Canis lupus familiaris: one gene and its partner. The protein of the gene in region 1 interacts with the protein of each later gene in a pairwise test. Links are inferred from orthologs where the notes say so. Each region holds a gene or a part of one and is shown on either strand. Other genes may lie near its edges. The genes, in order: TMEM239 and CXCL16.

Region 1 (3,497 bases):
TTTGACTCACAATGACCCCATGACAGGGTTGAGACTCACTTATCATGGAGATTCAAAAGAATTGGTTGGCCATGGCCGCACATTGTTTAAGTGAGGAAATGGGACTTCTTGTTCATTTTTCCATAACAGACCTTAGGAAACTTAGAGTAGGTCTCTTCTGGGATCCTCACTACCCTAGTAGTGGCCCATCTCCCAGACTCAGGGATGCTCACCAAGGCAGAAGGGAAGAAGTCTAGGGAGTGGGGGATGCCTGAGCAGAAAGGAGCGAGAGGTGTTAGTTGAGGTCTCATGGGACTTCTGGACGGCCTTCTCCCAGATAGGTTTCTGTCAGTGGGCTCTTTCTAGAGCCTGGGGAAAGAGCGGAGGTTGGGGGGTTAGTGAAAGGAATGGCCAGTCAGGGCTACCGAACTAGAAATTCTCAACTGAGTCCGCAGCTGAGACAGCTGAGCAGCTACAAGAAAAAGCTGCTGCCAGTTGCTAAGGGAGCCCTAGTGGTGTCACTACAGCCTTGTGGGAACTCTCAGTGGCTTGGCCGAGCTCTGCCCCTGGCTAACCCTTCTGCCCTGTCCCTTCTCAAAGCCCCCAATGCCCCACACCAAGTACCTGTAGCATTGGCTTGGGGAAGGTGCCCAGAGGTCAGGCTAGTCTACCCTGCCAGCTTTAGCAACATCACACATGGCCCGAGCAGTGCTAGGGATGGGAGGTCTGGGGCCTCCCCTTCCCCAGGGCTCAACAGACACAGGCAGCGGGATGGGGTTGCCCTTCTATTGGTCCAAGTCCTGAGTGTAGTCTGGGTGAGACATGGAGGTGAGGAGGCCCACGAGGCTCAACAGCGTGGAGAAAAGCAGCAGGAAGGAGGCCGTGAAGAGCAGGGCAGGGAGGGCGCTGAGCACCAGCAGCAGGACAGCTGGCAGCAGATGGCGCCACGCTGCAGTCACGACAGGCCACAAGGAGCTCAGCAGGTAGGAGCCGGTGGTGAAGAGCGCGTGGCATAGCATCAGCGCCAGCAGCAGGTAGAGGATCCCCTCCAGCCCCCACAGCACACGCTGGAGTGGCTGCCGCCAGCCCGATGTGGTCCACCACTGGGCCCAGCTCCGAGGCATGTGGCACATGCACCAGCGCACCCAGGCCTGCCGCATGACCCAGGCTGACCAGGGCACTGCCTGCTGCGGCCCCTCGCCGGCCCCGATGGCACCCGTCTCCACTTGGGGCTGCTGCATCCTGGCTGGTACACCTGGGGAGAGGGCCAGGCCAGCTGCAGGAGCAGCCCCGAGATGCCTGGGACCTCAGGGCAGGTGGGGGGCAGGAGGCAGGGGCAGGAGGGTACCAGCACGGGTGGGGTGAGGCTTTGAGCCAGGGCCTGGGGCTTACCTCTGGGCAGAACCACCTAAGTCATGTTGCTTCCTGCAGCACCTAGGACGGCCTAGCGGCCAGAGTGGAGCCCCTGCTGTCCCTCTGTCCCCCCTTCCCCCCCACCAGATCCCTATTGTGACCCGGGTAGGGGTGGGGTCCAACCAAGAGAGGAGTCACTGCAGGATGTAAGACTCACCTGAATCCCTTTCCACGGACCCTCCAGGCTGCCAGGGGGTGCTGCTGAGCCCACTGATGCAGATTGTCACGCTTTCTTGTGGGAAGCCCCCTCCAGATCCTGGTTCCTACCCTACTAACTGATATCCAGTCCTACTCTGCTCTCCTGTGAGTCTTTCTGGACACTGATACTCTAGAACCACAGAGGAGGCCAGAATGGCCACCTCCCAACCCACAAACTCGGAGATGGCTGCCACATCCTGCCCTGGGACCCCCGTCCCTTAGCTCACCTTCTGTTGCTGTCCTCAGACTCAGACCCGGGTATCCACTGTCCACATTGTGGAGCTGAAGGTCCCCTGTGGTTCAGACTGGAGATAAAGGGGTACCCTCCTGCCTGCTCCACCCACAACAGAGGAAAGGCGATCTGGGGAAGCAACACTGCCAGTGTATTTCTGGAGGGCACTCAGATCCAAGGATGGAGGTAGAAAGCCAGGCCAAGCAGGGCCAAGGGCACGCTGCAGGCTCCCAGGAGTAGCCCCAGGCTCAGGAGCAGCAGTAGCAGAGCCTCCTGGGGGCTGAGTTGTCCCGTGACTGCCACCGTAGGCAGGAGTACAGCCTCCTGCAGTCCTGGGCCCTCACCGGCCCCCTGACTCTGGCCTGTGAGAAGTATGTGCTGTGGTTGGACGGGGCCTGCGGGGCTGTGGAGAGACAGGGTGACAGCTGGGCTTCCGGAAATTGACTATTTGTTTCCCTGCTTACTCCTGCCACCTGCCAGGCTGCTGCACACTTACCAGTGGAACAGGTCGAAGGTCAGGAAGCTGACCAGTAGCAGCAGCAGCAGCAGCAGCAAGACTGGGCCAGCCGTGGAAAAGACTGCCCGAACTGTCAGTCCCAGTGCCCCCAGCCCTAGGACACTGTCCCAGAGCTGGGCCGGGCTAAGGCCCCAGGGAGACATACATGGACTTACTGGACTATTCGACCCCTCCCCAGCACTCAGGCCCCTGGGAGGGACTGGGATAGGATAAGCAGGGCCTTTGGGCCTGGGCAAGCAAAGCTGGGTCATAGAGGGAGGTGGAGATGACAGGAAGGACTAGTGCTGGGAGGGAGTTGGGGTGGGTAGGTATGTGGGACCGGGTGGGGCCCTGACAGACACTCGAGAGTAAACTGCGTGGGAATCTCCGCCTCCCCACACACTCACTCACCACACCCTCCTCACCTGCTACTTCAGTCAGCTGTTATGGGACTGGGCAGCTGGGACATTGTGACCTATTGCCAGGTGGGGTTCTGGGGTACAGAGGGAGCTGTGGCTGGTTTTGACCTCCTAAGCAGCTGGTATCTTAGGTGAGGCTTAGCCAGAAGGGAGTCATGATTTCTGAGAACTAAGACTCATCCTCTTGCCTTGGTGAATTCTCTGCCCCCAGGACTCCCCAAGAGGATCTGAGTTACCAGGAAGGCATTCTAACCCCATCACCACGTGGGTAAGAGAGGAAGGGCCGCTCTCTTTCTCCTGCGGGTTCCCAGAGCTCTGTGTCCAGGGACAATTATTCAATCTTCCTGTCGGCAGCTGTCTCTCCCCTGAGAGCTGGATGATGCCTTGTGGGGGAATTTTCAGGACTGCAGCCCTGAAATGCAGAGATAGGCTCTGCCAGGAAGTACCCTGAGACTTTCTGGAGCTGGACTCCCAGGGGACTGCTACAGGGTGGGGCAGGAGGGGGCTGTTTCTAAGCCTGTGGTTTGTGGGAAGTGTTCCAGATACTGGAATTCCAGAAATGGCATATATAATGTGAATATGAAGAGCGGTGACATAATAACTCACAATCTGGAAGTTAAAGTAACTCTGAGGATGAAAGTAAGGAAAATGAACATAAAAGGAAGGGATTGATCATCTGAAAAGGAAACCTATCTCCATGGTAATCTGAACCTACGGAGGTTCCAGCACATCTCACTTTAGTGACTTGAGAGGCAAGAAT
Region 2 (4,521 bases), on another chromosome or scaffold:
GGAGTCCAGGGATCAAGTCCCACATCGGGCTCCATTCATGAAGCTTGCTTCTCCCTCTGCCTGTGTCTCTGCCTCTCTCTCTGTCTCTCATGAATAAATAAATAAAATATTCAAAAAAAAAAAAAAAGAAAGAAAGAAAGAAATGAGCTGAGGATGCAAAGTGAAAAAGTAGTTGAAGGGTAGTGGGTCTAGGTCACAGCTTAAGGCCCTGAAAAGGAAGGCAGACACAGGGGTGGGGGGTGGAAAAGGAAGTAAGCTGAATTCGACAGGGAAGTGCTGGGATAGGCTTGTGTCCAGAGCTGGCTCTGCTTCCGAGCAGTCTCATGCACAACCTTGTCCCTTGTCTCTTGACCCCACTCCCTGAGACACTTTGCTTTCAGCTATAAAGCAGGATTTTAGTACCGAGGGCCACGGTAGCTAGAAGGATGGAGTGCAATCCTGTAGGCAGGCCTTTCTGTAGCCCACGGAACAGTATGCACACCAGGGATGCTCCAACAAGACAACTTCAGCTGCAACGTGTTAGAACATTTTGTGTTTTAACGGTTGTGTATTTATTTTAGGAGAAAAATACAGCCGGCGCCTCAAATCTGTGGCTTCACAGATGTTATTGCTTAGGACAAGCTGCTAGTTAAGTTTTTCCAAAACCGGCTTGTGTACACATAAGAACTTAACTCGTTTCACTGTACGTGAATTTTACCTCAAAAGAGAAAAATCAACAATAAAGTGCTGATTTCTACTTAACAATACACAGTCTGAGATGTGTGAGGATGAAGTATGGTCGAGCCTGCAACTAATTTGGAAATACATCAGAAAATAAGGTGGGGCGCCCTGATCTGAGGGTTCTGGGATCCAGCCCCACATCGGGCTCCCTGCTCAGCAGTGAGTCTACTACTTCTCCCCCTCCCTCTGCTCTTCCCCTTCTCATGCACTCTTCTCTCTCTCTCAAATAAATAAAATCTTTTTTAAAAAAAAAAAAAAGGCGGATTGATGATGGATAGAAACATAGATGGGCGTGAACTAAAACGAATATAGTCAGCATGCTGTAAACTTGATATTGTAAAACACACGCATTTGCTGTGTTCTCTGCCTACTACACACATTACATAAAATATAAACATTAAAAAGCCAAAAAGCGTGGAATCTAGGTGGTGGGCCTACAGATGTTCACTGCACTGGTCTTTCAACTTTTGTGTATGTCTTTAGATCACCACAGTCAAACACCAGAAAACAAAAGCAGTGCCTTGGTTTCACGAAAAATATTAAGGAAATAAGAGCACAGGTAACAGGATGGATTGGCCAAAATCATGACAGTGATGGTGAATGACACGGGGCCAACAGGGACCTAAGGGGCTTTGGCTGGCACCAGCTACAAGAGGAATGCCAGGTGTCATTGGGAGGGGGCCCCTGCCCTGAAGACAGACCTCAGGCAGGAGAGGGAAAGCCAGTACCTTTACGATCCAAGCAGCTCATCAACTGTTGAACCCACGGATCCTTGCTGCCGCCACACACGCTCCGCATTCGTAGCTGAAACCTAAGAAGGAAGACTTGGGATTTTAACTCTTTCCTCATTCCAAAGACCTGAAGTCACTGCCAAAAGCAAGCAGGGCCCTTTCTGCCCAGACTGGGGAATTCCCAGGTGGTTGGGACAGGGAAACAAGGGCATGGAGAATTAGGGGGAAGGTAACCCTGAGAGGGGGCCAGGTGCCCCCAGGAGCTCCGGGTGAACCAGTGAGGTCCTGGAGGCCCCAGCAGCGCCGCCCTCCCGGTGCTCCGTGAGCTCACCTGACGTAGGAATTACAGCGCTGATAGACTCGCAGATGTTTTCGGAGATGAGCCATGAGCTCCGCGGTCGGAGGGGAGCCGGAAGAAATCGCTTTGTCGCAGTAACAACTGCCAGTGACGCTGCCCTCGTTGCCATCGCCTGGCAAGGGTACCGGCGGTCAGCGCCAGATCCCAGCTCGAGGGGCTCCCCAGCGTCACCGCGCCTCCTCCTCGGATCCCGGATCTGACCCCCAGACCCACAGGGCGCTCCCACACACACGCCCGGACCCGGGTGCCCCTAGCCTGTCCCCTACCCCGGGGGGACCCCGGCTCCGCCCCCTGCTCCACACTACCCCGCGGCCCTTGGCGCCCCGGTCCCCCATTCCACTCCTCGACTGGGGCCCTGGACGAACCTGGCCGAGTCAGCAGCGCCAGCGCGGCAAGCAGCACGAGGGGCCCGGCCCCCATGTCGGGGGCCAGGCCGGACCGCAGCGCGGCGTCCAGCTGCTCCCTCCCGGGCCCGCCGGGACGCCGGGCAGCCGCGGCCGTCGGGGTGCGAGGGTGGGGGGTGCGGCGCGAGCTGGAGGCGCCCTCCTCCCGAGCTCTCACCTTCCGAACCGACAGCGCGGTCGGTACTGCGGGCCTCGCGGCAGCTGCCCCCCACCGCCACCGCCGCGGGGAAAGTCCCGGAGGCGGGGCCCCGCGTCCCCGCGCCCCCGTCCCCCGCGCCCCCGCGCCGAGGGAGCGGCCGGGAAGGAGCGCGCAAAGGCAACACGAGCTCGGCCCCGCTCGGGGATGCCCGCCCAGCCGCCCCAGGTCAGGCGGCCCGCCCGCCGCCACCGCTCCTCCCGCCCTCCGCCGCCACCACCTCCCAGGGCGCTTTCGCTTCCCCGCCGGGCGCCGGCACTGGGTCACATGCCGGGTGAGAACCGCGGGAAAGTCCGTGAGCCCCCGACGGGGGCGGGGTCTCGGCCGGGGGGGGGGGGGCGCGGGCTCCCGCGGCCCTGACGTCACGCCCACCCACCCCCATCCCCCCGGAGCCCCGAGGTATTTACCTTCGAAAAGTGGTGGCGGCTGCAGGTACCGGAGAGGCGGAGCGGCCGGGAGGGACTGGGTCCACGGGGACTCCCCGCCGAACCGGTCCAAGGCGAGGGGATGCCCCCGCTCCGGTTCCCTCCTCGCACATCCCGCAGACGGATCCAAAGTAATCCCCGCTCGCCAAACCCTTCCCCGTGGGATTAGCCCTCCAAATCTATCCACAATTCAGACCTTACTCTTGAGGGTTTGAGCCTCGGATTCTGAGCCCCAAATACCATCTCACTCCCGACTACTCATCTGAAACCCTGCTCTCCCACTTCCATGCCTGCCCCAGTTCTCAACCTGAACTCCCACCCTGAGCCCCGGAAAAGTAGTCTCAGCTCCTCACACTCATCCAGAGGCCCCACGTTAGTGAACCTCAAACCCACACCCTCCCCATTTGGTGACCCAGCCCCGAACCCCCCCATTGCCCTCTGCCTTACCATACACCCCTTCCTCTGCTTAGTCTGGGCCCAGACCCCGTGCCCCTGAAGACATGGAGTTTGTGTCTGGATACAGAGATGAGTTCCTTGATTTCGCTGCCCTCCTGTTTGGCTGGTTCCGAAAGTTCGCTGCAGAGCGCGGGGCTGTGGGGGCCAGCCTTGAGAGCCGCTGGCGCCAGCTGGAGGCTCAGATCAGAAGACTGCCCCAGGACCCTGCCCTTTGGGTGCTCCATGTATTGCCCAACCGTAGTGTGGGCATCAGCCTGGGGCAAGGGGCAGAGCCGGGCCCTGCACCAGGCCTGGGTGCTGCCTGCTTCCTGGGAGACGAGCCCCCACTGCACCTGCGAGACCTAAGCCCCTATGTCAGCTTTGTCAGCCTGGAGGAAGGGGAGGAAGCAGAGGAGGAGGAGGAAGAGGAAGAGAATAGAGAGGAGGAGGGTACAGGTGTGGAGAAGGTTGATCCGGAGGAGGATGGGGAGCCAGGCCCCACCAGCAGGGAGTCCCCCCAGGAAGCAAACCCTCCAGGGGAGACCGAGGAGGCTGAGCAGGAGGCAGGAGGCAGAGGCGGCGAGGAAGGCTGCCGAGAGGACAAGGCTGAGGAAGAAGCGGGCCCTGACAGGAGGAAGGGGCGGAGAAGCGGTAAGATCCTGGGGCTGCCCTGTCTGACCCCTGCCTAGACATTCTCCCCTTTGGAAGACCTCCTCTACCATGCAGCCTGGCCAGGAGTCACCAGTGGGTGGCCTGCTGGCCAAGCTGGCCCAAAAGGTGTTTTCATTGACTCACAGTGGTTTTTGTTTTTCAAACTTTGAGCCAACATTTATACAATGAAAGAAAAAAAAAAAAAAAAGATTCCAGAAGTCAAAGGAAAACTTTCAAGTTCCAGCAGCAGGCCAACACTTCTGTGTGGCGCAGGTGGCAGCACCGTGTAGCAAGTGTCCTCTTTCCATGAGGCATCCCCTCTCTACCCGGTCCCCTCTGTTCATTTAGTTGACCCGCCTAACTCCTGTAGGCATGATTTTCATACCTTTGACTCTGCCCATCTTTGCCACTCCCCACCTCTGACTTTCCTTCCCCAGAGGCTGCCCCCCTGCACCTTTCCTGCCTCTTATTGGTGACGGATGAACATGGCACCATCTTGGGCATTGACCTGCTAATGGATGGAACCCAGGGGAGTGCATGCAAGGGCTCAGGGACAGAGAACCTGGCCCCTCGCGCCTATGCCCTCCTCTGCCACAGCATG

What was found.
Region 2: the proteins of TMEM239 (region 1) and CXCL16 interact in a two-hybrid assay, tested with the Homo sapiens proteins (2 studies listed by BioGRID). The two-hybrid records come from large-scale screens. The link is inferred for Canis lupus familiaris from reciprocal best matches to the Homo sapiens genes TMEM239 and CXCL16.

Annotation. Positions count from the first base shown.
Region 1 is NC_049245.1:18,897,626-18,901,122, forward strand, and holds TMEM239 (transmembrane protein 239), read right to left. Parts: upstream 1,954-3,497; 5' UTR 1,818-1,953; exon of another isoform or gene 1,372-1,817; intron 1,235-1,371; 5' UTR 1,221-1,234; coding exon 765-1,220; 3' UTR 752-764; downstream 1-751. Other genes in the region: C24H20orf141 (uncharacterized protein C20orf141 homolog), read right to left, coding at 1,991-2,225, 2,319-2,590.
Region 2 is NC_049226.1:32,022,456-32,026,976, reverse strand, and holds the start of CXCL16 (C-X-C motif chemokine 16), read right to left. Parts: upstream 2,989-4,521; 5' UTR 2,817-2,988; intron 2,371-2,816; 5' UTR 2,230-2,370; coding exon 2,175-2,229; intron 1,922-2,174; coding exon 1,783-1,921; intron 1,532-1,782; coding exon 1,449-1,531; intron 1-1,448. Other genes in the region: ZMYND15 (zinc finger MYND domain-containing protein 15), read left to right, coding at 3,335-3,920, 4,358-4,521. UniProt on the Homo sapiens protein: Acts as a scavenger receptor on macrophages, which specifically binds to OxLDL (oxidized low density lipoprotein), suggesting that it may be involved in pathophysiology such as atherogenesis. Induces a strong chemotactic response. Induces calcium mobilization.